3 linked regions of the Coturnix japonica genome follow. The protein of the gene in region 2 interacts with the protein of the main gene of each other region in a biochemical or structural test. Links are inferred from orthologs where the notes say so. Each region holds a gene or a part of one and is shown on either strand. Other genes may lie near its edges. The genes, in order: DAB1, VLDLR and RELN.

Evidence for each region.
Region 1: the proteins of VLDLR (region 2) and DAB1 form a complex in vitro, tested with the Homo sapiens proteins (2 studies listed by BioGRID). The link is inferred for Coturnix japonica from reciprocal best matches to the Homo sapiens genes VLDLR and DAB1.
Region 3: the proteins of VLDLR (region 2) and RELN form a complex in vitro, tested with the Homo sapiens proteins (6 studies listed by BioGRID). The link is inferred for Coturnix japonica from reciprocal best matches to the Homo sapiens genes VLDLR and RELN.

The regions. Positions count from the first base shown.
Region 1 is NC_029523.1:23,459,346-23,467,356, reverse strand, and holds the start of DAB1 (disabled homolog 1), read left to right. Parts: upstream 1-2,804; 5' UTR 2,805-2,864; intron 2,865-3,608; exon of another isoform or gene 3,609-3,897; intron 3,898-8,011. UniProt on the Homo sapiens protein: Signaling adapter of the reelin-mediated signaling pathway, which regulates the migration and differentiation of postmitotic neurons during brain development.
Region 2 is NC_029547.1:24,164,502-24,171,340, forward strand, and holds part of VLDLR (very low-density lipoprotein receptor), read left to right. Parts: intron 1-218; coding exon 219-590; intron 591-694; coding exon 695-817; intron 818-897; coding exon 898-1,020; intron 1,021-1,381; coding exon 1,382-1,501; intron 1,502-1,576; coding exon 1,577-1,702; intron 1,703-2,107; coding exon 2,108-2,279; intron 2,280-2,604; coding exon 2,605-2,829; intron 2,830-2,994; coding exon 2,995-3,113; intron 3,114-3,498; coding exon 3,499-3,638; intron 3,639-3,750; coding exon 3,751-3,892; intron 3,893-4,200; coding exon 4,201-4,347; intron 4,348-5,269; coding exon 5,270-5,359; intron 5,360-5,748; coding exon 5,749-5,823; intron 5,824-5,927; coding exon 5,928-6,097; intron 6,098-6,575; coding exon 6,576-6,611; 3' UTR 6,612-6,839. UniProt on the Homo sapiens protein: Multifunctional cell surface receptor that binds VLDL and transports it into cells by endocytosis and therefore plays an important role in energy metabolism.
Region 3 is NC_029516.1:11,729,764-11,737,234, forward strand, and holds part of RELN (reelin), read right to left. Parts: intron 7,282-7,471; coding exon 7,039-7,281; intron 6,566-7,038; coding exon 6,390-6,565; intron 4,843-6,389; coding exon 4,769-4,842; intron 4,099-4,768; coding exon 3,937-4,098; intron 3,586-3,936; coding exon 3,428-3,585; intron 2,599-3,427; coding exon 2,379-2,598; intron 1,385-2,378; coding exon 1,187-1,384; intron 799-1,186; coding exon 700-798; intron 1-699. UniProt on the Homo sapiens protein: Extracellular matrix serine protease secreted by pioneer neurons that plays a role in layering of neurons in the cerebral cortex and cerebellum by coordinating cell positioning during neurodevelopment.

The sequences.
Region 1 (8,011 bases), on a different chromosome or scaffold from region 2:
ACAGAACTAAGTGAATAATTCACAGCAAATAATTCCTTGGCTGCATTTTGCATCTTTATTTCTGCAAAACATCCATCCATGTTCTGTATGTTCTGCACTAATTTCTTGTTGAATTAAAGCACGACTTCCCCTCTAGCCACTGTCTTCCCGTTTTCATGAGCAGGTCAGTAAAGCCTCATCTGGAAGTAGTTCATTTTTAAAATGAGAAACAGGCATCATTATTATTTATAATTATTAATATATATAATTATTATTTGTGATTCTTGACTTTTGCCATTGAAAGCAGTGTTTTGGGAGGCAACAACTGCATAAAATTAATTATTCTTTCAGTGGATGAAGTGGGTGGGTGTGTACACTGTGGTTGGAACTCCAGATTAATATTTACACCTTAAATACTCATCTTAAGGTTGGAGTGAAGTGTAGGAGCACGCGGTGAATGTTAGAGTGATGCAATGCATTTTATGGGGAAGCACCTCAGCAATCCTTTTTAACTTGCTGCCTTTGGAAATGCCAACAAATGTGCCTTCACACCCCACTCTTCCAGCCCAGGGATAGAAGAGAAATGCCTTCAATTGTGATGATGGGGGCAGAGAGCACTGCAGTCCACAAGGATTGTTGGGATCTCTTGCTTTGATTGAGCATTTATCTACACCTATGAGATGTGGTACTATTCCTGGGCATGCCTAAGATTAAATATCTCTGCCTTGACTACATTAAAGATCAGAGGTCTGTTTTGGTAGGTGCCATCAGAGGACACATGTCTTGCTTGAGAAAGCCAATAATTTCCTAAAGTCATAAAAAAGAAGGAAAAAAAGCCCCGGCTGTGATGAAGGTGATGACAGGGCAAGTCATAATTCTCTTTTGGCAGACATTTGCATTCACGCTTGCCTGGAAGTTACGTGTCTGAGAGTTGCTGAGGGTAAGTACATTGGGTAGGTGTGATTTCCTCATGGCAATTTTGGGTCAAGCAGGCACCCTAACCTGGGGCACCCTTAGCTGTGCCTGGGTGCAAAGGGCAGCAGAGTGCATCCCCAGCTGCTCAGATGGGGGGCCTTTGCATGCCTGGCTTCAGGGATCTTTGCTAGCACCATGGGTGATACTTTTGGTTCTAAGCCCATAATGGTGAGACTTGGAAAGGAAATGTGCTATGGGTACAGAAGCAGGGAGACCTTGATGTCACTGTCAAGATGTGAGGGTGAAAGTAGCTTTTTCTTAACCCTTTCATTACCACATGGGACTTTTTGACTTGCAATTAAAGGAACCTCTGAGTTAAGCTGAACAACAGCTGAGCACAACAGAGTCCGTGCTGCATGCTGCTTTCTCAGAGCAATGTGTGCTGTAGCTGCTGAGTAACGTAACAGGGAAACCTCATTTCCATGCCAAGCTCTGCCTGCCCCAAGCAGAGCACAGCCCTTCCCTGGCTGTGGTTGTGGCTGCAGCATTATTCCCTCCTTTCTGCTTTTCCTGCCTCGTTCCCAGCTCTCTGCTCCTTGCTGCTCGGAGGCACACAGCCTCAGCAGCTCTGTGTGAGCTCACCAGCACTCTCCTTCACAGCATCCCTGGGCTTTTTGCTCAGCCATCTGCGTTAAGGAATAGAAATTAACAGCGTTTGCAGACAGACCTCATGCAGTCATCTCTTACAGACAGTTCCCGGTTCCTGTTTGGATGGGATTGCTGATGAGCATTTGCATATTTGATGCTCTCTGTACTGACTCGTCTGGTTAAGCTCTTTCCATGCAAGTTTCTCATGGGGTCCCCTCCCAAATCCAACTGACCACCCTCCCCCACTTCAGCAGGAGTTCTGCTAAAAGTAGGCAGGGGTCTGGAAACAGTGGAAGAATGCAGGTCATGAGATTGACAGGTGTTTTGTGCTGAGAGTTGTAATGGGGATGTGGTGGGATTGGAGCAGGTTGGGCTGGCGTGGATCCTCTTCCCATTCTCCTAAACCCCAGAAAGGAGCAGACTGGAAGCAACTAAGGATAAGGAGGGCAATCAGGGTATGGCTCAGTCCCATAGGCTGTCCAGCAGTTTTGTTCACCTGTTATTGTCCATAACTAAGGGATAACAAAGTGTCTGAAGCAGCTGTTATCAGATGGCTCAGGGCTGGCACCTGGATCCTAACAGGCAGGAGAAACCATCCGTGCTGTCACAGATACATGGCACAGGGGTGCTGGTGAGATGTTGGGGCTGTGAAAAATGCTGTCTCAGATCCACAGAACCACAGGGGTCAGGAGGAACTTCTGTACTTCCCCAGTCCAACCCCACTACGGCAGTTCTCTACAGCAGCTGCATAGGAATGCATCCAGGTGGGTTTGGATCTCTCCAAAGAAGGAGAGTCCCCCCACCATGTCTGTGCAGCTGTGCTGGGGCTCTGCTGCCTCACAGTAAAGTTCTTCCTCATGTTCAGATGGAACTTTGTCCCACCTTGTGCCCATTGCCCCTTATTCTGTCACTGAGCATGGCTGAAAAGCTCCCAGCCCCATCCCATCCCCCTGACCCCTATTAGATACTGAACAGGGCTGTTAAGATCCACTCTCAGCCTTCTGTTCCCCATTAGCACAACCCCGTGGCTGTCACCCTGTCCCCATCGGGAGATGCTCCAGGTCCCACCACCTCCGCATCTCTGCGCTGAGAGCTGCTCCAGGTCCCTCATTCACCCCCTGGGCGCCTCCTTCTGCCCCCGGCCGGGCGGGGGGATGCTGCCAGGCTCGGCCTCGCCCCTCTATTAGGGGGAATGCGGTAACGCGGTGGCTGCAGGGGCCGCAGAGCTGCGCGCGGAGCTGCGCGCGGAGTCGGGTGCGCGCATCGCTCCGCTGCCGCTGGAGGATGAGAACGGCGCTGCGGGCGGCCGAGCCGGGCTGCAGGTAGGGAGGAGGAGGCGGCCGGGTTGTATGGTGTGTGTGTACGGGGGTCCCGGCTCACTAAGGGGGGCCGTGGAGCGGGGGAGAGCTTGTGTGTAAAGTTTGGGCCGCTCGGAGGGAGGGAGGGATGGAAGGAGGGATGGAAGGAGGGATGGAAGGAGGGATGGAAGGAGGGATGGAAGGAGGGATGGAAGGAGGGATGGAAGGAGGGAGGCGGGGGCTGCGGGCTGCTCCGTTACGGAGGGGCGGCGGAGCTGCGTGGCCGCGGGGAAAGCCCCGCGTGGGGGGCGCGGAGCCGTTGGCAGCGCTGCAGCTGCCGGGGGAACTTGGGGCTGGTGAGCACCGGGCGGCTCGTGCCGTGTGTGTGTGTCTGTGTGTCTGTCTCGGTTGCTGTCCCCCGTCGGCTCCGCGTTCCTCGCGGTGCTGCCCTTCAGCCCTTCGCTGTGCCCCGCTGCTAACGGAGGTGCCCGCTTGGTCAGGTTGGTGAGCAATTAGGCGTAACCCCTTCGGGATGTGACTCCGCGGGGTCTGAGTCGCGGTGCTGTGAATTCCGGCTTCGGGCTTAGCGCCGGGATGGGATGGGTTGATGAGGGCTGCAGGGTGCAGCTGTGGGCACGGCTGGCTGCGGGGAACAGCAGCGCTGCTGTGCCGTCCTGCTTTCACATACGGTCCCTCCGCCGCTGCTCCAGTGTCGGTGCCCGGGGTGGGGGCTGTCTGTGTGCTCCGAGTGCTGCCCGGAGCCGTTAGCATCGCTCTCGTGTGATGACGCCGTTGTTGGATGAGCGCGGCTTGAAGCCGACGTGCCGCTCGTCAGAGCCCACGAGTTGTTTCTGAGCTGAATTTTGTTCTCGTGAGCGGAGAGGCATTTGCACTGCAGTGTTACAATACAGCCATATTAAAAAGGTCCTTGGAGCAAATAACCCTCCAGTGCTGCAGCGACGCGGCTTCAGTACTTCTATGAGCAATAACCGTGCTGGATTTCCGACCTGAACTGACTGTGTTCTTTTAATTGTGGTATTAAACGTTCATGGGAGCGGTAAGTGTGAGCTGAAACCTGGAAAGCAAACCCCCAACCCACCCGAAGCTTTATTCGGAATCAATTCATTTTTATTTATTTATTTATTTATTTGCAACAGGTCCTTCTGGCTTTTGCTTTCTGCTGTTAATTAATTGGCAAGAAGGTCTTTTCCTTGCATGTGTTTCCCTCGCTAAGCAGAGTGATGTTCTGGTGCTGAGCAGCAGCTCACGGTGCCGTGGTTGTCTTCCTTGGGTGGTTCAGTGTCTGTGGTGCTACTGGGGATGGAGGCAAGGAGGACCGGGGATAAGGAAGGAGGAGATGGCTGAGATGGGTGGCATTTGCAAATCAGGCAGTGAAGGTTTCTTATGACTTGGTGATGGTGTCTGTGGGACCTGAAATAAGCAGCTGAAATAACACCCTGCTTCGTGGTTGAAGGTCAGCGTCGGGTCCATCGCTCAAGCAGAGCTCTAAGCACCATTGCCATGGGTGGGAGAATGAGGGTGCAGGGGGGGGGGACCTGCAGGCTGATGTTTCCTTGACTGACAGACACTTAGGCAGCACCACGTGCCACTGTGATAATTTGGCCTCTCTAATGACTTCCTCCAGCAAGCTGATAGGGAATTAAAATGTTTGCAGATGGGTTTTGGAAGGGTTCATCAGGATGGGGAGGGAAATCCTTCTATTCTTAGATTTCTCTAATCCCAAGCTTCTGTTCCTGTAGTCATGCTAATTTTTTATTGATTGTTGTGGCAGAGGATGCTGTGTTGTAGAGAGCAGTAATTCCAATGTATCTGCTCCAGGCAGAATTGTCCTGGGAGGAAGTGGGAAGGAAGGAGAAGCTAAATAGAGACATGGTACTGCAGTCCCTATTAGAGATGCTCATAAAGCTAAGGTCATGGATGAACAGCTAGATGCTTTTACAATTACGTTTCAATGAATGGACTTAGCTGGAATCCTGTGTTTTCTGTAGAAGTGCCAGTAATTACTTACCTTGAGTGTCCTCCAGCTCAAGACCATTTCTCCATTGGAAGAAACTGTGGGAAGATGTTTGATTGAGGGTGGGCATTGTTTCCTGTATGGATGTCAGCAAAAGAGAATGAGCTGGAGTTGAGACTGGTACCCAGAATGACAGCACAAGAGGAACAAGAAGTTGGTCACTCTTGATGATCAACTTTCTCCTTAGCAGCACCATATGAAGGTCAGGAATGTAGTCTGTATTTCAGTCACCACCTGATTCTTACTTAATATTCTTATGTGAATCCATCTGCATGGATCAGATGAGCCTAAACCGTGCTTGCTTCTCTGTTGGCAACTCTTAATTTCACCAATTTCATGCTTTAGTAATATGAGTTTTTGCTGTTGAACTGCAGGAGTCTACATTGCTCCCTTCCACGCTATTTAGAGATGTAAGCAACAAACCCAACCCAGCACTGGCAGGTGTGGATGCTTTCAAAGCAACCTCTATTAAGTGAGTTCAGTTTTAATGGTGGTGGGGGGGAATGGAGGAGGGCTACAAAAATTGTAGGGAAAATGTGACATAATGATGTTTTCTATGCTCCTTCTTCTTCTGATTGCATTCTGCTTGCAATCACTCTCAGACTTTAAATGTCCTTCTGCTATTGGAGCACTCGAGAGTGAAGTGGGTAGCAAGTTTGTGGGTTGATGCTTTGCCAGGCACGCAAAGCAGGCTGGAGATGAAAACAAGCTATTCTCAACTGCTGATTATAGTTCTTGGAACAGGGAATGAAAGGTATTCTTCTGAGTAACCTGGAGAGCAAATGAAAATGACCCCTTAAACAGTGTCTATAAAACACCATTTTGGTTGAAATTGTTCTATTACAAGAAATACAGAGGATGAGAAACCTGAGCAATCTTGACAATCGTTTTGGGATTGTTCTACAAGAAGATCAAGGGCTTGCCAGATTTTGCTCTTATGCACATAAATCACCTTTCCTCCTCCTGTTCCATAAAATGCATTGGGTCAGGACTTTGCAGTTTGCCATCACATTATTTCAAGTACCTAACGTATAGTACCCATCACAAATAATAGGAGATCCATGTTTCACAGCCCTTAAATTTCTTCATTGCTATGCCAAGATAAAGAACTTCCAAATTTCTCATGCAAGAACATGCGCATGCACTCCTCTTTTATATCTGCAGATTGATGCGCTCAGCAGGAGCTTCTTTGATTCTTACAACACTTAAACGTGACTGACTCAATGAAAAACTGCTGTGTGAATATTTATTTACTCTAGTTTTAATGTAGCAGAGATCTATTAAGATGGAGCAACTACTTCTGGGTCCTTAAGCTGTGGATACAGCGCGGCAAATGACTGCGCTCAATTGTGGGACACTGGCCATGGTACCTGTACAATAACTGTGCCGTATGATAAGGAAAACAAATCCTACTGACGTCACTGGGATTTCTGATTTGAAAAGTTAAATATTCCTCAGTGAGAGCCGTAAGGGTATTACTTTGCCTCATGGAGGGCTTTCTCTGAGTAACGCATCCAAATGGATGTTGGGATTGCCCAACACTGATAATTCATGCACCTCTGGAGTGGAATTCAGCAGCCGTCGTGGGCTGGAAGCATTATGCAGGAGGGGTTTGGGGAAGAGAGATGAAGAAAAACTAATCCAATTGAAACTGTAAGGGGAATTTAGGAAGCAGAATGCAATTATCCGAGTTGGATATTGGCCAGGACATGTTAGTTAACATTTTTACTCTTGCAGGAATTGCCATGGGATCGTTAATGACGATGAGTGGTCAGGGCTCTGTTTTACATCTCATTTGAAAGCTTCAGCTGAGGAAGACATGAATGTTCTGCCTTCCTACAAGGTGTTTTGCTGTGGTCAGTGTGTCACCCACCCCATGCCCCCTGTGCTTTCTGGACACATCTGCTTTGCATCACTATGTAGCGTCCATAGTGAACCAAGGTGATGAAGCTTACTGAAAAGTAACTGATGTTTCAGGAGAACAATGCTCTAAACTGTTCTATGGTCATGATTTTCCATCCAACTGTGTGAACCTGAATCTTCTCTAATAAAAATAGCAACTATTTTTAGTTAAAAAGTAGCAGTCTGATGTCAAATGTTCTTTAATGGCAGTGCCTTCTTGCAGTTGGCTTGAAAAGGAGCAGGATGGCAGTAAGCAATGGAAGGGGGAAGAGGCTTCCAAGCTGCCTACCTCGCTCATGTAGATAAGTCAAAGATAGCTCTGAAGGGTCAATACTGTCCTTACAGCAAAGATTTTCCTGTTTCTATAGAAATCTTCCCCCAAAGCTTTCATGGTAATGTCAATAGCAGTAAATTAAAATGCTACTTCAAAGTCACTCAAGATAAACCTAATGTATAAAGTGACACTCAGATTTCCTTCCTATGTTTTCATCCTTGCAGCCAGTTCGTTTAGTCCATGGAGGGACAGGGAATGCCAGTATCTGCATCTGTGACTATACTGAACTTCTGATTGAAAGAAAAAACTGAGCATTCTGATATGGGTTACATGGACTTACCTTGCATTCTGTAGAGCACAGGCTCTCACAGTGTAGTTACAAGTGTTTGGGAGATTGCAGTAGTCTCTTGAAGCTGGGTTAGCATATGAGCATGTCTTAATTGCGCTGATCTCCTCTTAGGATGTGAATCAATGTCAGTACTCTGAGCTTTTTTTAGGGTGTTTTAAGTACATGGAAATGAATATTAAAGAGCGGATGAATCTTCATCTAGAAACATAGGATACAACCACTTTTACTTTGTTTAAATAAGTGTCTCTGGTACGAGGCTGCTTAGTTGCCCATGTAAGTCCAGATTTCATCTGCCATAAATAAAGTAAATGGGCTTAGGGACTTCATATGTAAATAAAGTGCCCATTCCATCTGTCTCGGTGAGGTCTGACCCACAAAACAGCAGCAAATGCTCAGACTGCTTGAAAGAATTTGATGAATATATTATGTTGGTCAGGTGTAGAGCTGTGATCTGTGACATTTTGTGCCTCGTGTGGGCACTGCTGCTGTGTGGCACAGTGGGCTGCATTATTGCAGTCTTCAGGGATACGGAGATTGGAAAGAATATGGACAGAAGCTGTTGTTGAGCAAAATAAATTATGGAGTAGCTCTCCCAGTGTGAGCAGTTTAGT
Region 2 (6,839 bases):
GTTTCTCACTCTTAATGCTTAAGACAAAGAGAATTGTTCATATGTCACGTGTGTATTGTAGGTGATCAATTAGATTATCCTAAAGCCTTCTTTTTGCAGAATGTTGACCTAGTGTCAACTCACATCTGATGGAGCAAAGAAACTGAAAAGCAAAATATGTTCATTCAGAAGTCTTCCTGTGATAACCTGCTAATATTTTTTCACTCCTGTTACTCCAGGCAACGTGACTTGTAGTGCAGCAGAGTTCACATGCACTAGTGGGCAATGTATTTCCAAGAGCTTTGTCTGCAATGGTCAAGATGACTGCAGTGATGGTAGTGATGAGTTGGAGTGTGCACCTCCAACATGTGGTGTTCATGAGTTCCAGTGCAAGAGCTCCACTTGCATCTCTGCCAGCTGGGTGTGTGATGATGATGCTGACTGCCCTGACCACTCTGATGAATCTTTGGAGCAATGTGGCCGACAGCCTTTGCCTCCTGTAAAGTGTTCTACCAGTGAGGTGCAGTGTGGCTCAGGTGAATGTATCCACAAGAAGTGGCGCTGTGATGGAGATCCTGACTGCAAAGATGGAAGTGATGAAATAAACTGCCGTAAGTTAGCTTGATTCCTCTTCTATAGGAGGTGTTCCTTGGCCCCTCTTTTTTTCCTTTTTGCAGACTGCAGGAGTCAAATTGTCTAATGGCTGTCCCCACAGCTTCTCGGACCTGTAGACCAGACCAGTTCAGGTGTGAAGATGGGAACTGTATCCATGGGACTAGGCAGTGCAATGGTGTGAGAGACTGTCTAGATGGCACTGATGAAGCGAACTGTAACAGTGGTAAGTGTGCAGATTAACAAGACTGAAGACTTGCATAGTTTCTGAAGCTGGCAGCCTCTTCATAGTCTTCATTATCTCAGTTATTCAGTGTTCTGGACCTGGCAAATTCAAGTGCAGAAGTGGAGAATGCATAGATGTTAACAAAGTGTGTAACCATCAGGGAGACTGCAGTGACTGGAGTGATGAGCCTCTCAAGGAATGTAGTAAGTGAACGAACTCCTTATGTAGTACTGACTACTAAACACTTCCTGAGCTGTCAGTTGTTGGAATGAAATACTTATCTGTATTTACTTAGTAGCAAAAATAAACAAGAGTAACCCAGTTAATAGGGCTGTCGTTATCATAGTCAAACTGACTATTGGGATGACTTTGTGACCTGAAGGTACTTGAGGCCATTAAACTCTGAAGGTCAGAGGAGCCTCAGCTGCTGCTGCCCACTTAGAACACAAGCGTATTGATAGCTGGTCAAATGTGGTCTTGAGCATCTGGTACAGCACTCAGTGACTAAGATTTCAGGCCTATATATGTATGCTGTTTAAGAAATGACCTGTTCTTCTCTTCCAGACATAAATGAATGTTTAGTCAACAATGGTGGATGCTCTCACATCTGCAGAGATCTTGTTATTGGCTATGAATGTGACTGTCCAGCTGGGTTTGAGCTTGTAGACAAGAGGACGTGTGGAGGCAAGTATCAAATTAGTTAATAGTGAACATATGAGTTGTACTGTAGATGAGAACAAAATGAATTTGTCTTTACAGATATTGATGAATGCCAAAATCCTGGTATCTGTAGCCAAATCTGTATCAACCTGAAAGGGGGATACAAGTGTGAATGTAGCCGTGGCTATCAGATGGATCTTGCTACAGGAGTGTGCAAGGCTGTGGGTAAGTATTGGCATGAGACAATAACCATAAGCCTGGAAGTCATTCACTTTTAAGTGAGACAGTTAGTGATGTACATTTTCATGCTGCTGTAGTTATGACCCAAACTATGCTCTTAACAGCATAACTTGAATAGGCCTGAACAGTCCTAACATTCTGAGTAGTGCTATGACATGCCACTTAAAGCTACCATGTCTACATGACAGGTTTTTTTTTTTCCCAGGGAGGAGGGTGCTCACCATGAAGGGAGAAAAGAATGGGGTATGATACAGCTAAGATGTTTGTCAGTATCCATTTCCAAGTGTGAAATAGCAGATACTAAATATGACTCCTAAAAAGCTGTCTTAAAGGCCATTGGTTTGTGACTTGATGTCTAGAAACATAGTTAAATAATTACTTTTTCTGCAGGGAAAGAACCATGTCTGATTTTCACCAACCGACGGGATATCAGGAAGATTGGCCTTGAGAGAAAAGAATACATTCAGCTAGTAGAGCAGCTAAGAAACACAGTTGCTCTAGATGCTGATATTGCTGAGCAAAAGCTTTATTGGGCTGACTTCAGCCAAAAAGCAATTTTCAGGTAAATGGACTTATCCTCTGACTTAGTTCTACCTTAAGCATCCTGTATTTTACCCAAGATTCTTCTGTAGGCTTTTGTGCTGAGAGCTAGATTACCAATGACCAAGACTAAGCACAGCAGGTACAATCTCCTGGAGCTAGCATGTGCATACTTGTTGCACTTCTTTGTATCTGTTTCAACTGTGACCTTTTCATAAGGTGCCTGATTTGCGAGTACATCTTCTAGATTGCATGCAGCTCCTTGGCAGGCAGCTTTTGCTGAGGTGTGCAGAGCTGTAGTCTGTTAGGACAAAGAGGGGTAAAAGCAAGTAATTTTTGTTTTCCAGTGCCTCTATTGATACCCGTGATAAAGTTGGAACACACACTAGAATCCTAGACAACATACACAGCCCTGCAGGAATTGCTGTTGACTGGATTTATAAGAACATCTACTGGACTGACTCATCTGCAAAGACCATTTCAGTGGCCAGCCTGAATGGCAAGAAAAGAAAGGTTTTATTTCTTTCTGATCTGAGAGAGCCAGCTTCTATTGCTGTAGACCCTCTCTCTGGGTGAGTGTTTGTCCTAGTTCTCTGGAAAGAACAAATCTACTATCTACTCTGTGTTCTGATAGTCAATTTACACAGCCTTTGTCTAGCTACTTGTTAGCAAATGTAATAATTAAGAGTGATGCTACAGTATCTATAGTGTCATATAACATAAATTATGCTCCACAGCTTTATGTACTGGTCAGACTGGGGTGAGCCAGCCAAAATTGAAAAAGCAGGAATGAATGGATTTGACAGACAGCAGCTTGTGACAACAGAAATCCAGTGGCCTAATGGCATTGCTCTAGGTATGTTGAGTTTGTCTCTGTGCCACAGGTATTCTGGAGCTTTAGCAGTTTGTTCACTACAGAAGCCAAGGTCATCGTTCAAATAACTATTTTTAGCTTTTGATATTGGGAAGTTTTTGTATGCCTAGAGACACTACAACAGGCACAGCACTTCAGATGCTGAAATGGTAACTTTCCCTGCACTGCTGTGTATCCTACCTAAGGCATAGTGCAATTAGGCAGCACTACAGCAGTTTTCTGTATTCCCATGTAATAAGAAACTATATGGTAACACTGCAACAATTCTTGAGCGTGTGGGTGTTGTAGCTTTTGCAGGAAACTCTAGTGGTCTTACACACATAGCCAGTAATTGGTGGTTTGTGTTTTTTTTTTTCTCCCATCCTAGATCTTGTAAAAAGCCGTCTGTATTGGCTAGATTCTAAACTACATATGCTGTCAAGTGTGGATCTGAATGGCCAGGATCGCAGACTTGTGCTGAAGTCTCATATGTTCCTTCCTCATCCTCTTGCTCTAACAATATTTGAGGTAAGAATGGCTTGCTGCAGTACTCGTCAGAACTCTTCTTCCAAGTATGTGGCTAGCAATTATGGTGCTGAAAGAAATACAGAGATTATGGGAGTTAATGACTATTTTCTAGGATCGTGTATTCTGGATTGATGGAGAGAATGAGGCAGTCTATGGTGCCAACAAATTTACTGGAGCTGAATTGGTTACCCTAGTAAACAACCTCAACGATGCACAGGACATCATTGTTTATCATGAACTTGTTCAGCCTTCAGGTAACTACTAGACTTCGTAGTTCTATCAACATATACTTGCATGAAGCCTGCTGTGATTGTGTGTTAGCAAATGGTATCTTCCCCCTGTATAACTATCTAATTCATTTTGGTACTTGAAGCTTTTAGTCTAGCACACCCACTGGGTTTGAGAGAGTCTAGTTGCAATTTTTCTTGCTTGGGCAGATTAGATATAACCTGCAGAGATAAACAACTCAACTAGAGCAACTACTGAGCAAAAAATTATGCTGTACCTTTGGAGCATGAAAGCTCATTCCTGTCAATCACTTAAAATGAACCTGTACCAACAGGCAGGAACTGGTGTGAAGAGAACATGGTAAATGGAGGCTGTAGTTACTTGTGCCTGCCTGCTCCTCAGATAAATGAACACTCTCCGAAGTACACTTGTGCATGTCCTGCTGGATATTTCTTACAGGAGGATGGTCTGAGATGTGAAGGTATGATTAAAAAACTTCTTTCAGGATGGACGATGGGAGAATTGGAATCATGATACTAAGCCTGTAAGAGGCAAACATGACAGTACAGACTGACAGCTTTGCATGAGTAAATCTTATGCAACTTCTCTTAGTGAGGGTGGTCTTCTGGCATGCATTGAGCTACCCTCTAAGTCTGCAGATATTGTTCAGAGTTCATGCCTGGCTTCTGTATCATCATCATTTGCAATAAGACCTTGTGCTTCCACAGCTTTCTGCAGACAGCAGGCATATGCACGAAGCCTACCTAGTCCTTTTGTTAGAAACCAGGGGTATAAACTAACATTGCTGTACAGTGATTCAATCCATTATCTTGAAATGGTCATGGGTTAATCTTGCAAGTTTGTGTATTTCCTTTCCAGTTCCAAGCAAACCTGCTGCTGCTTGTACACTGAGCTCTGGCTGTGTGGCAGACTTGTGTGTCCAATCTAGCAAGAGTAGGATCTCCAAAGTGTCACTCAATAAATTGCATGTTGATTGACTGCTACAGTCAAAGCAGTGAATGTGAGGACATGGTTCTCCATTGGCTGAAGGTAGTGGCTGCTCTATAGGATGGATGTCAAAGGCTGTATTTGACCTGCAAGCTTTATGGAATCAAATATTCTACAGGGAGCGTGAAATGAGTAGGGTGGCTTATATTTTCAATTACTTCAGATAAAGCTTATGCCTGTTTAAGTGGCTCACGTGGTTCATGCAATCATTTATTTTTTTTTATCAACACTTTCAATGGAAGCTGTACTTAGTAAAATAACTAATGTCAATGTTTCCAATAAAGCTAACAAGCTGCATGACCATTCTGCCATCTGCTAAACATTTGCTGCCATGGCTGTCATAGTTAAGCCATTGCAGAACTTCAGGATTAACTGGGTTCTTGGTCTATAATTAGTTTCAGGTACTGGAACAACTGTGACTTACACTGAGGCTAAAGATACCAGCACAACTGAAAAATCTCCAACTGTTGGACTAGTTCCTGGAGGTACTGGTCCCATTAACTCAGATTACTAAACAAAAGATAAGAGAAATGCAGACTAACCCACTAGCATACTTGAAATCTTCTTTGCATGCAAGTAGAAAAAAAACTACTTCATGTATGTAGTAGAAATACAGCAGCTGGAGTATGCGATAAACATAATTTGTTCTTTTATGACTGCATGGAACCCACAGGTTCCATGAAATGCCAAGAGTGCTCAGAGAAGGGCAGCAAAAAATCTTACTGCTAAGATAAGATGAAGCGTCTTAGCACTGTTCTTGTATAACATTAATAATGTTGGAGCAACTTTTAGGCTTAATGTCTTAGTAAGAAATCTGAATAAATCTGCTATCTTGTGATTAAGAAACCTTACTACCTTATGAATTATTGTGCAGGATTCAACATCAGTAGTGTGATGTCTGAAGTAGCTGCAACAGGAGCATCAGGAGCTTGGGCTGTTCTTCCTGTCTGTGAGTACCATGTGTTGAGATCCTTTTTGGTGGGATAAGCTCTTTTTGTTCATAAGTTTGACTTGATACTACTCTATACTTAAAATGTATGTTTCTCCCTGAAGTATTGCTGGTGATGGCTGCAGTGGCTGGCTACTTCATATGGCGTAACTGGCAGCACAAGAACATGAAAAGCATGAATTTTGATAATCCCGTCTATCTGAAAACTACAGAAGAAGACCTCACAATTGATATCGGCAGACACAGTGGTTCAGTTGGACACACCTACCCTGCAGTAAGTAAACTGATTGATATATGCCTGAGGTTTTGGGCTAGTCCTCAGAGTGGATGTAGCAAAGAGCTGCCAAGTGACTTTCAAGATGAGGCTGGATTGGGCCCTGAGCAACTTGATCTAGCTGTGCATGTCCCTGTTCATTGCAGGGCAGCTGGACTAGATGACCTTTAAAGGCCCCTTCCAACTCCAAGGATTCTATGATTCTGTAAATTGGGAGAGGTTTCTGTTCTGGAATGCAGAGACATACTGACTGCACTGAAACTACTGGGCTGAATCAATTCAGAGCTCATACTTTTAATCAAGATTTATGTCGTAGTCGGCAACTGCTACTGTATGACTGGGATGGAGTAAACCAGTGTTGAGTATGGTTTCTAGCCTGCAGAACTAGAACCTACTTCAGACTGCCCTGTAGTGAAGACTTGCATTGTTGTCCTTTATTGGTAAAACTGTAGTTAACAAACACTTTTTCTTTTTACAGATATCTGTTGTAAGCACAGATGATGATATGCTGTGAGCACTGGATTAGCAATCGCTTTCAGTTTACTTTGTGTTTTACACTTACGGGGATGATAAACATGCTTGTGGCTGAAAGACTTCCTCCATTCTTGGAAGAATGAAGAAACTTTCTCTGTGTATGGAACACTTACATAATTAGCTGTTTTATACAGCTTAACAACCAACTCTGTAAATACCTGTCCACAACAATTCAGCTTTTAGTGGTTACTATTTTATCAGTAACCCT
Region 3 (7,471 bases), on a different chromosome or scaffold from region 2:
GCCCGTGAAGCCACTAGCATTTCACTTCTACTGGAACTAAATTGTTAGAGAAAAAGCAGGTCATCTCTTTGTGACGTAACACAGGAAAATGGGTTAGCTGTGAGCAAAACCCATCTTAATAGCGGGAGAACCGGGAGGGTGAAGACACTTTACTTGGTAAAATCTTGTCAAGGGGATGAATATAGATCAGACCATAGGAACCTGATATAGTGAACCCTGTTTCTGAACAGTATCCTTCTTACTAAAAAAGGAAATGAATAAGGCATTAGTTGCTAATGCAAATTTTTCAGAGGCACAACAACAACACTCTGTGCAAAGAGCAATACAGCATCTTGTATCTTTGAAAGGATATAAATCAGCCTTACATGGTAGCACAGTACTGAACAGAAATATCCTTTTATCTATGCTCCAGCAGAATATATTTCACAGTCATTGCTACACTACAGGAACACACCAATACTTGGTGATAAAGCCCCGCTTTCCCTCCTGTGTTCTTCCAAGAGCACAACACCTACCCCTGCTGTGCCACATATTTCATTGCCATCTTAACTGCTGCTGGTTGCAGTCAGGGCAAGGCATTAACAAAGACTGACTCTCAAAGGTTTCCCTGGGCCAAAGTGATTCTTACTGAGTTTAACACTTGTGCCATGCTGGAGGTATTTCTGAGATGGGGTGGGATGAGATGAAGCTGATACTCACAGAACAACTTCTACGTGGTCCAAAGCCCACTGATCATGACCTGTTCCATTGTGACGGGGCTGCCACCAGCGCAGTAAGACTCCTTTCATTCGTGCCTCCCTGTCATCACAAACACAAGATCCTATGAGAGCTCCAGACTACCAAAGGCTTGCACTTTTCTGTCTCCCCCCATCAGGAAATGAGAGCAAAGCCAAAGCGCTATTTGTGCAGGCTGTAAGCACAAAACATTCAAAGGTGAAAAATGCATACACAAAAGGAAGAATTAAATATATTTTCCTCTTATCCTTTAAACACAAATTATGCTTTTTCCAAAGTATTTGATAAGCACTCTCCTGTTCTTCCTTAATCAGCCTTCCCCTTACACTTCCTTCTTTTGCCTACCCTCTCATCGACCTTATTTTTCTTGCAGTGATGCAAAAATAGAGTCCTTCCTACAATAAATGTATCTTGTGCATTTAGACGTAATGAAATGTGACTGGGTACTCACAGGGGAACATTATAAGACACTCTTTGGGCTTGTATAAAGTCCTTTGGCTGATGCTGTGCAATTACTTGCCATGTAATTCCATTATTTACACTGTATTGGAGGAGCACTGCCTTGTCTACAGTGTTAGGATCACTTAGATTGGTATTGCAGCTGTCTGTTTGTGAAATGCTTCCAATTTGCAAAACAAACATGATTTTGCTGTAAAACACCAAGAGAAAAGGTATTGTCAATACGCAAATAAGTATCCAGACAAGAACGATTGTATTTCCACATTTATCACAGTTATTAAAAATTTCAGGATTCTCAAGTTTTGTTACTTTTAACACGTAAAATAAGTTGTTCTCACATCTAAAACATAGCTCCTTTTTCAAAGTAAACATTTCGCTGTGTACAGCATATATCCATATATTTGAAGGCAACAGATCCAGTTTTACAATGTACCTTTACTCAAACGAGATATACAGATAGAACAAACATGCAAATGAATATATGAAAAGCTAAAAAGGGGCAAATAAAAGTTGAACAAAGTACTGAAAAGATTTCTAATATTCTACCTAGGCATTCAAATAAGAAACAAAGAGTCTGATTCATATCTGGCCCATTTGCTGATTCACTCTGTTTCTAATAATTCTTTAGACAGTTAAAGACAAAACCAGTCCAGAAAGCTGTCACTCTGTTAAGGGTCAGCACAGGCTGGTTATGTTTGTTTTTCTGTGGCTAAAGAGATTTAACAGAAGAAAAAGATGCTCATTTTCATTTCCAGGTGAATACAATTTTATTTGACAACTGAAACAGGAAAATGAGTCCGTAATTACTGATAGCATCTTCACTCATGACTGCCATTGGAGGCACATGCAAACATGGCATTTGTTTTATCAGATCAGGCACTGGTCCAGACAGTCTGGTATCCAGTCTTTGCCAATGGCTTCAGTGTCAGTTCTGGCTTACAAGGCAGCTCTCTGTTGGACATGATGAAAACAGCTGACCTTTTCATTTGACATCGCTTCCTCCTCATTCTATCTCCCAAATGAAAGTCACAAAGCATTTTGTTTATCTGCCAACCACATCTGACTGCATGGTAAAGCCAAGTTAGTTTATCCTCTTCAATACTGCCTCACATGGCTTCACATGCATAGAAAAAATTTCCTTTCTCATAAGCTGCTGAAGGAACATTTTATGCTTAAAGTATTACCTTGCTCGGGTGAGATCCAGAGGCTTAGTCACAGCTTGTCGTACTTGACATCCATTAAAATAGAGTGAATCTCCGTGGGCATAGGGTGCCAGCTGTCCACATCCATTCCCTATCACTCCCCCCTGAATGGTTTCCCAGTTTATTTCAGTGACTCTTTCAGATTCAAAATTATCTTTAATATAACTGGGTAGATCATGGCTAAAAACAGAGCAGTCATCACCTAAAAATGAAACAGTGAAGTTATAAAACATGAAGAAATGAAAAAATTGGGAAAATTCAGTTAAATCCATTGTAATTGCATTCAAGTCAGTGGCTCAATAAACGGAGTGACTACAGGCTGAATATGTTTCAGCAGATCCATTAATAGTGTGCACATTGCTGCACAGCATTCAGTTTTATGAAACTGAAGCTGCCAATCTGTTATTTTTTACATCAGTACAACTTCAAGGATTGCAATAGAGCTTCCCCTATTTTCCATTGGTGCCATCATAAGAAACCTCAAATTGACACCTGAGGGGAAATGTGTTTAAAACTGGGAAGGAATCTGATCTCATAAAGTTACGAGACTGCCCTGGATGGCTCTAAACACTTTGGCTCCACTCCCATAAAGCAGTTAGGATGTAATGAGGACACTCAGGTACCGTTAGATATGTGCTTATCTGGACTGAGGCATTAGAGCAGAATCCCCTACAGGCGCCATCAACTTCTGGATCCTGTGTACACTTCCCCTGGGAGTGACTGCACCCTTGGAAGGAGTAGAAGGCTGAAAGCCATATCTGGCTAAGAAGGTAGCCACCTCCTGGCTCCAACAAAGATTGAATGGGCTTTAAATACAGTGCCAGACAGCAGAGACTAGTGATTCAATCCAGAAAGAATAAATGGAAGGAAAAGCTGTTAGCTGCAGCCCTGTCAAATTATGAGTTTAAAGTCTGTTACTCAAGCACTCCAGTGATGAGTTAAGACAGGATATATCACTCTATCTTTTTGTTTAACTTTGAGCTACATTAGTTTGCAGCAGTTGTATATGAAAGAAACTGAAGAAAAGAAACCTTGATATCCTTCATCACAAATGCAAATAGCTCCAGTTGTGCAATATCCTCGACCACTGCAGAGCTTTGGGCACGCTTCCCCAATGTACACATGGTCGATTGCCCAGCTTTGTTTCTCTAGTTCTTCTCCTTTCTGAATCCACCTGAACTGAGTTGCACTGCAAATGTCAAAACCCAAATACGATATTATGATATGTAACAATTAAACACATTTGTACAGAGAACTTCAAATTTTCCAGCAGAAGATGTAATTAGAAAAAATAATAATTGCATTAGAGTGTTGTGACTTTAATAACTAGAAAGACCCAGCCTGAACAGGTCATAACCATATTATTGGCAGTAGACACTTCTATTTAAATAAGCTTTCTCAAAAACATTAGTTCTACATCAGACCTAAATCCAGCAATAAAGAAGCATTTTAAATCCACCAGTTGTTCCAAAGCAAACAGTGCCAGCAAGACAGCTGACATTTTATAGACCCAGAGTGAGATGACCTTTTGGTAGCCTACCTGGAAGAGACATGATCAGGCAGCTGGATAGTTATTCTTCTCCACGTGGAGCTGTTGACAGAGTTATAGATGGTAGCTTCATGGAATTGAAATGGGGAGCAGCCAATGCTATTAGATGAGGAAGGAAGACAGTGCGTCTGTACGAGCTGCCACGAATCTGTCCTATAAGAAACAAAAAAATTATGTTCTTAGAACTACAGACGGAATAATGAAAGGGAAACAGGAAATCTCTAAAGGTCACAACTTCACCAATCTTACTAAACAAATCCAAAGGATTGCCAGCAATAGTCTTTGTATGCTTTGCAGCCACAGAAAGACAAGAGTTGAGAGGATGAAAGTCTGGTGCAGCCATGGAAGACTTTCCATGCTCCGTATTTACCTACAAGCATTTAAGTACAAAATATGCCTTCAATTGTACAAATTATAATGCACCATTATACTACAGCACAGTGCTATTAAAGAAATAATGTTATTGTTTGTCAGTTAAAGACCAAATCAGAATTAAATAACCTCTGCCTGATTACCTGTTTGGTCCTAAATATACACTCCTATACCATACTAAAACAACAGTATCCCATGAATGTGGTTTTCTGTGAACACATTTTTAACAGTAACAAGGGCATGACTGCAACTGCAAGCTCTGTCAACATCTGGGATAAATTATAAAGTTAATTTATGGAAGTTATGTACAGAAATCCCAGCACTTGCCAACAGAATTTGTTCAGATCCTGTTACAAGATGAACATCAAAGCGAATGCTTCAATAAATAAAAGCCCTTGAAGTTTTTAATAGCACACTATTTTTTAAGTCTGTATATTCTGCTCTCATTTACCTCGCATCCTTAGTATACTCCAGCATCACAGAGTGGAGGTCCCCACAAGATGATGCCTCGCAGCCAACCACGATCTATAGCACAAATAAAATTGGCAGCTGTAACAGGTCAGGTAGACATTTCATGTGATATATGATGAAGTGTTGCTCTATTTTTTATTTTTTACAGGTTGCCTAAAAGAGAAACTTAGACCATGGAAAAACATCCATCAGAAGTGGATGAATAGCAAAAGACACAGTACTTCAAGTACTGTTTAATTGTACCTCACTGTTATTTTCAAACAGAATCCTAACACTGCTATCTCAAATTTCAAATTAGCTATCTAAACAAAAACTGAATCTGAGACACAGAGAGGTGGGCGCACCTTGGCACTTGAGAAACACCTAACTTCATATTAACTGCCCATGAAATATTTGAATCATAATAATTAAAATGGGAACGTCAAATCAAGTCAATCCAATTTAGGAACAGAATTATCCTGCATGTATCAAGCAGTAACCATATTTGTGCCATGTTAGAATAGAAAGATTACAGCGTCCTTTATAGAGTACTGAAGAGGTAACGCAAAGCTAAATTTTAAGTACTTCAAAACAAAATGGCAGACATATATTTAGAGCTGCATTCTTAGTTTAGAAATAAAATCTTTGCTGTGTCTGGAGAAAAAACACCTTACTCAGTAATGTGAAAAATCCAATGCTGATGGGTTATCTTACTTTTTGCCCTCAAAATAGAGGAAAATGATGATATGCCGGGTAAGAGTAGCAGCAGCTCAGAGAGGTCTTGGCATGCAGTAGGATCTAGCATGTCAGACTCCACTTTTATATCATTTCTTTAAAGACAGCATACTGTGTATAAATGGTCACAGCATCGCTTTCATGGAGTATATTAGTCAATATAAAATAGGCAACTGTGTTGAGAAAATATTGATTGAAAACAGGAAATCCCAGAGCTGTAAAAAATAAAAAAGATAGCAAGAAAGAAACATAACAAGAAAACAGACAACTATTTGTATGACTTGGCTTTCATGTTATTTCTTGGCTCTGGGAAAGACCGAGAACATTTCCAGGCAACAACTACGTAAGCATTTTCTGATTGCCACTGTCTCTATTCGGAATTCTACCTTAACTAAGTAAAATACCCAGAAATGTTACTCTGATTATTCAGAATACTGTTCATTACACAAATAAGCAGAGATGTTCTTCTACTCTGAGCTCTCCTGCATTTTCAATATGCCAGCTTGTTTCCAGCCCAATTCTGTATTCCCTTTTCTGTTTATTCACCAGGTGGAGGAAATGTTGTATTCTGCATGCTTTATATTTTCACCTTAGAAAATAATTCTCACTGCTGATCCAGTAATTTGTGGAGAAAGGGATTAGACTTCCAGTCCTTCTCAGTAACCCCTGAAGGATGCAGGCAATCAGAATTACCCATCATTTAGCATTCATGTAACTTTTCAGGTACTCGTTACCGACACTTCAACATTTCTCTTAAATTCTAATAATTAAAGTCATAATTTATTCATCCAGTTATGCCTCATAGCTGGAAGAAGGAGAATTTCTGAAGAGAAACTAGACCGTTTTTCATTGCATACTTTACGCTGTAGAGAGAGAACATTCCTTACTTTAAACTGCATCATGTACCCTGGCTGTATAATGAGCTCCCTGGAGGACAGGATGTTGTGTGTTTTGTCCTTTTTCTTATTCGGCCAGTAGAGATGGAATGAAGGATTTCCACAGAACCCTGCAGTCCTGACTGCATTAGGATAAAAACTCCAGTTTTCTTCGTGAGAGATGCCTTCTGTTAACATACAGAGTTAAATACAATTACTGCATTGTCTTGGTAAATATCAAGGCTTAGTTATGAATCCACAGAATCACTAGATATAAACTCTACATCTCTGCTAGCTGTTGTGACATGCAGTAAGTTAAGCTACTAGCAGACACAGTAAAAACGTCAGCTCCAGACAACTAATTTAAATTTTAAAATAACAGCATTTCCAAAAATATGATTAAATAAAATCTCCCTGTTCAAAAATTTACATGAATTGAGGTAGACTGAAAAAAATGCCGTTCTTACAGGTATACCCATACATATACACAAATACACCTGAATTCATGTGCAAATACGTATTTACACACCAGGATATAAACAGTAGTTGTCTACAACAAAAAAGAGCTCAAAAAAGAGAAAAAAGGTGTTTGCAAGTTCACGGACCTTTTCGCAAATAAAACCACAGCAGACAACAGAATAGCTGTCACAGCCTTTCTTACCATCATCAAACGTATCTACCAGCTGACTGGGGTTGATCTCTGCTCCACCAATCAGAATGTTATCCAGAGCCCACTGCGCCCGATCAGGCCCTGAAACCACAATGCCATTGCTGATGGTGAAAGGCTGCCACCAGCGCAAGCGGGTTGTGTTGGTCAGAGCATGTTCGGGGAGAAGGATGTAGTCATGCCTGACTGAGATGTATTTTTGGTAATCCATCTCATGAAGCAAAGTCCAAGTTATTCCTAGAATGAAAAGATGCAGATTTAGTAATAAAAACAAGAAACAGACAGAATCTTCTAAAAGATTAAAGGGAGATAATAGGAAATCAGGAATAACAGCTATGGTCTTCTAATAAACAAATCTTAACTTCTTAAGGGTGGCTGGTAACTGTTATTCATTACAAGAATAATCTTGTAATTGTATGAAACAACG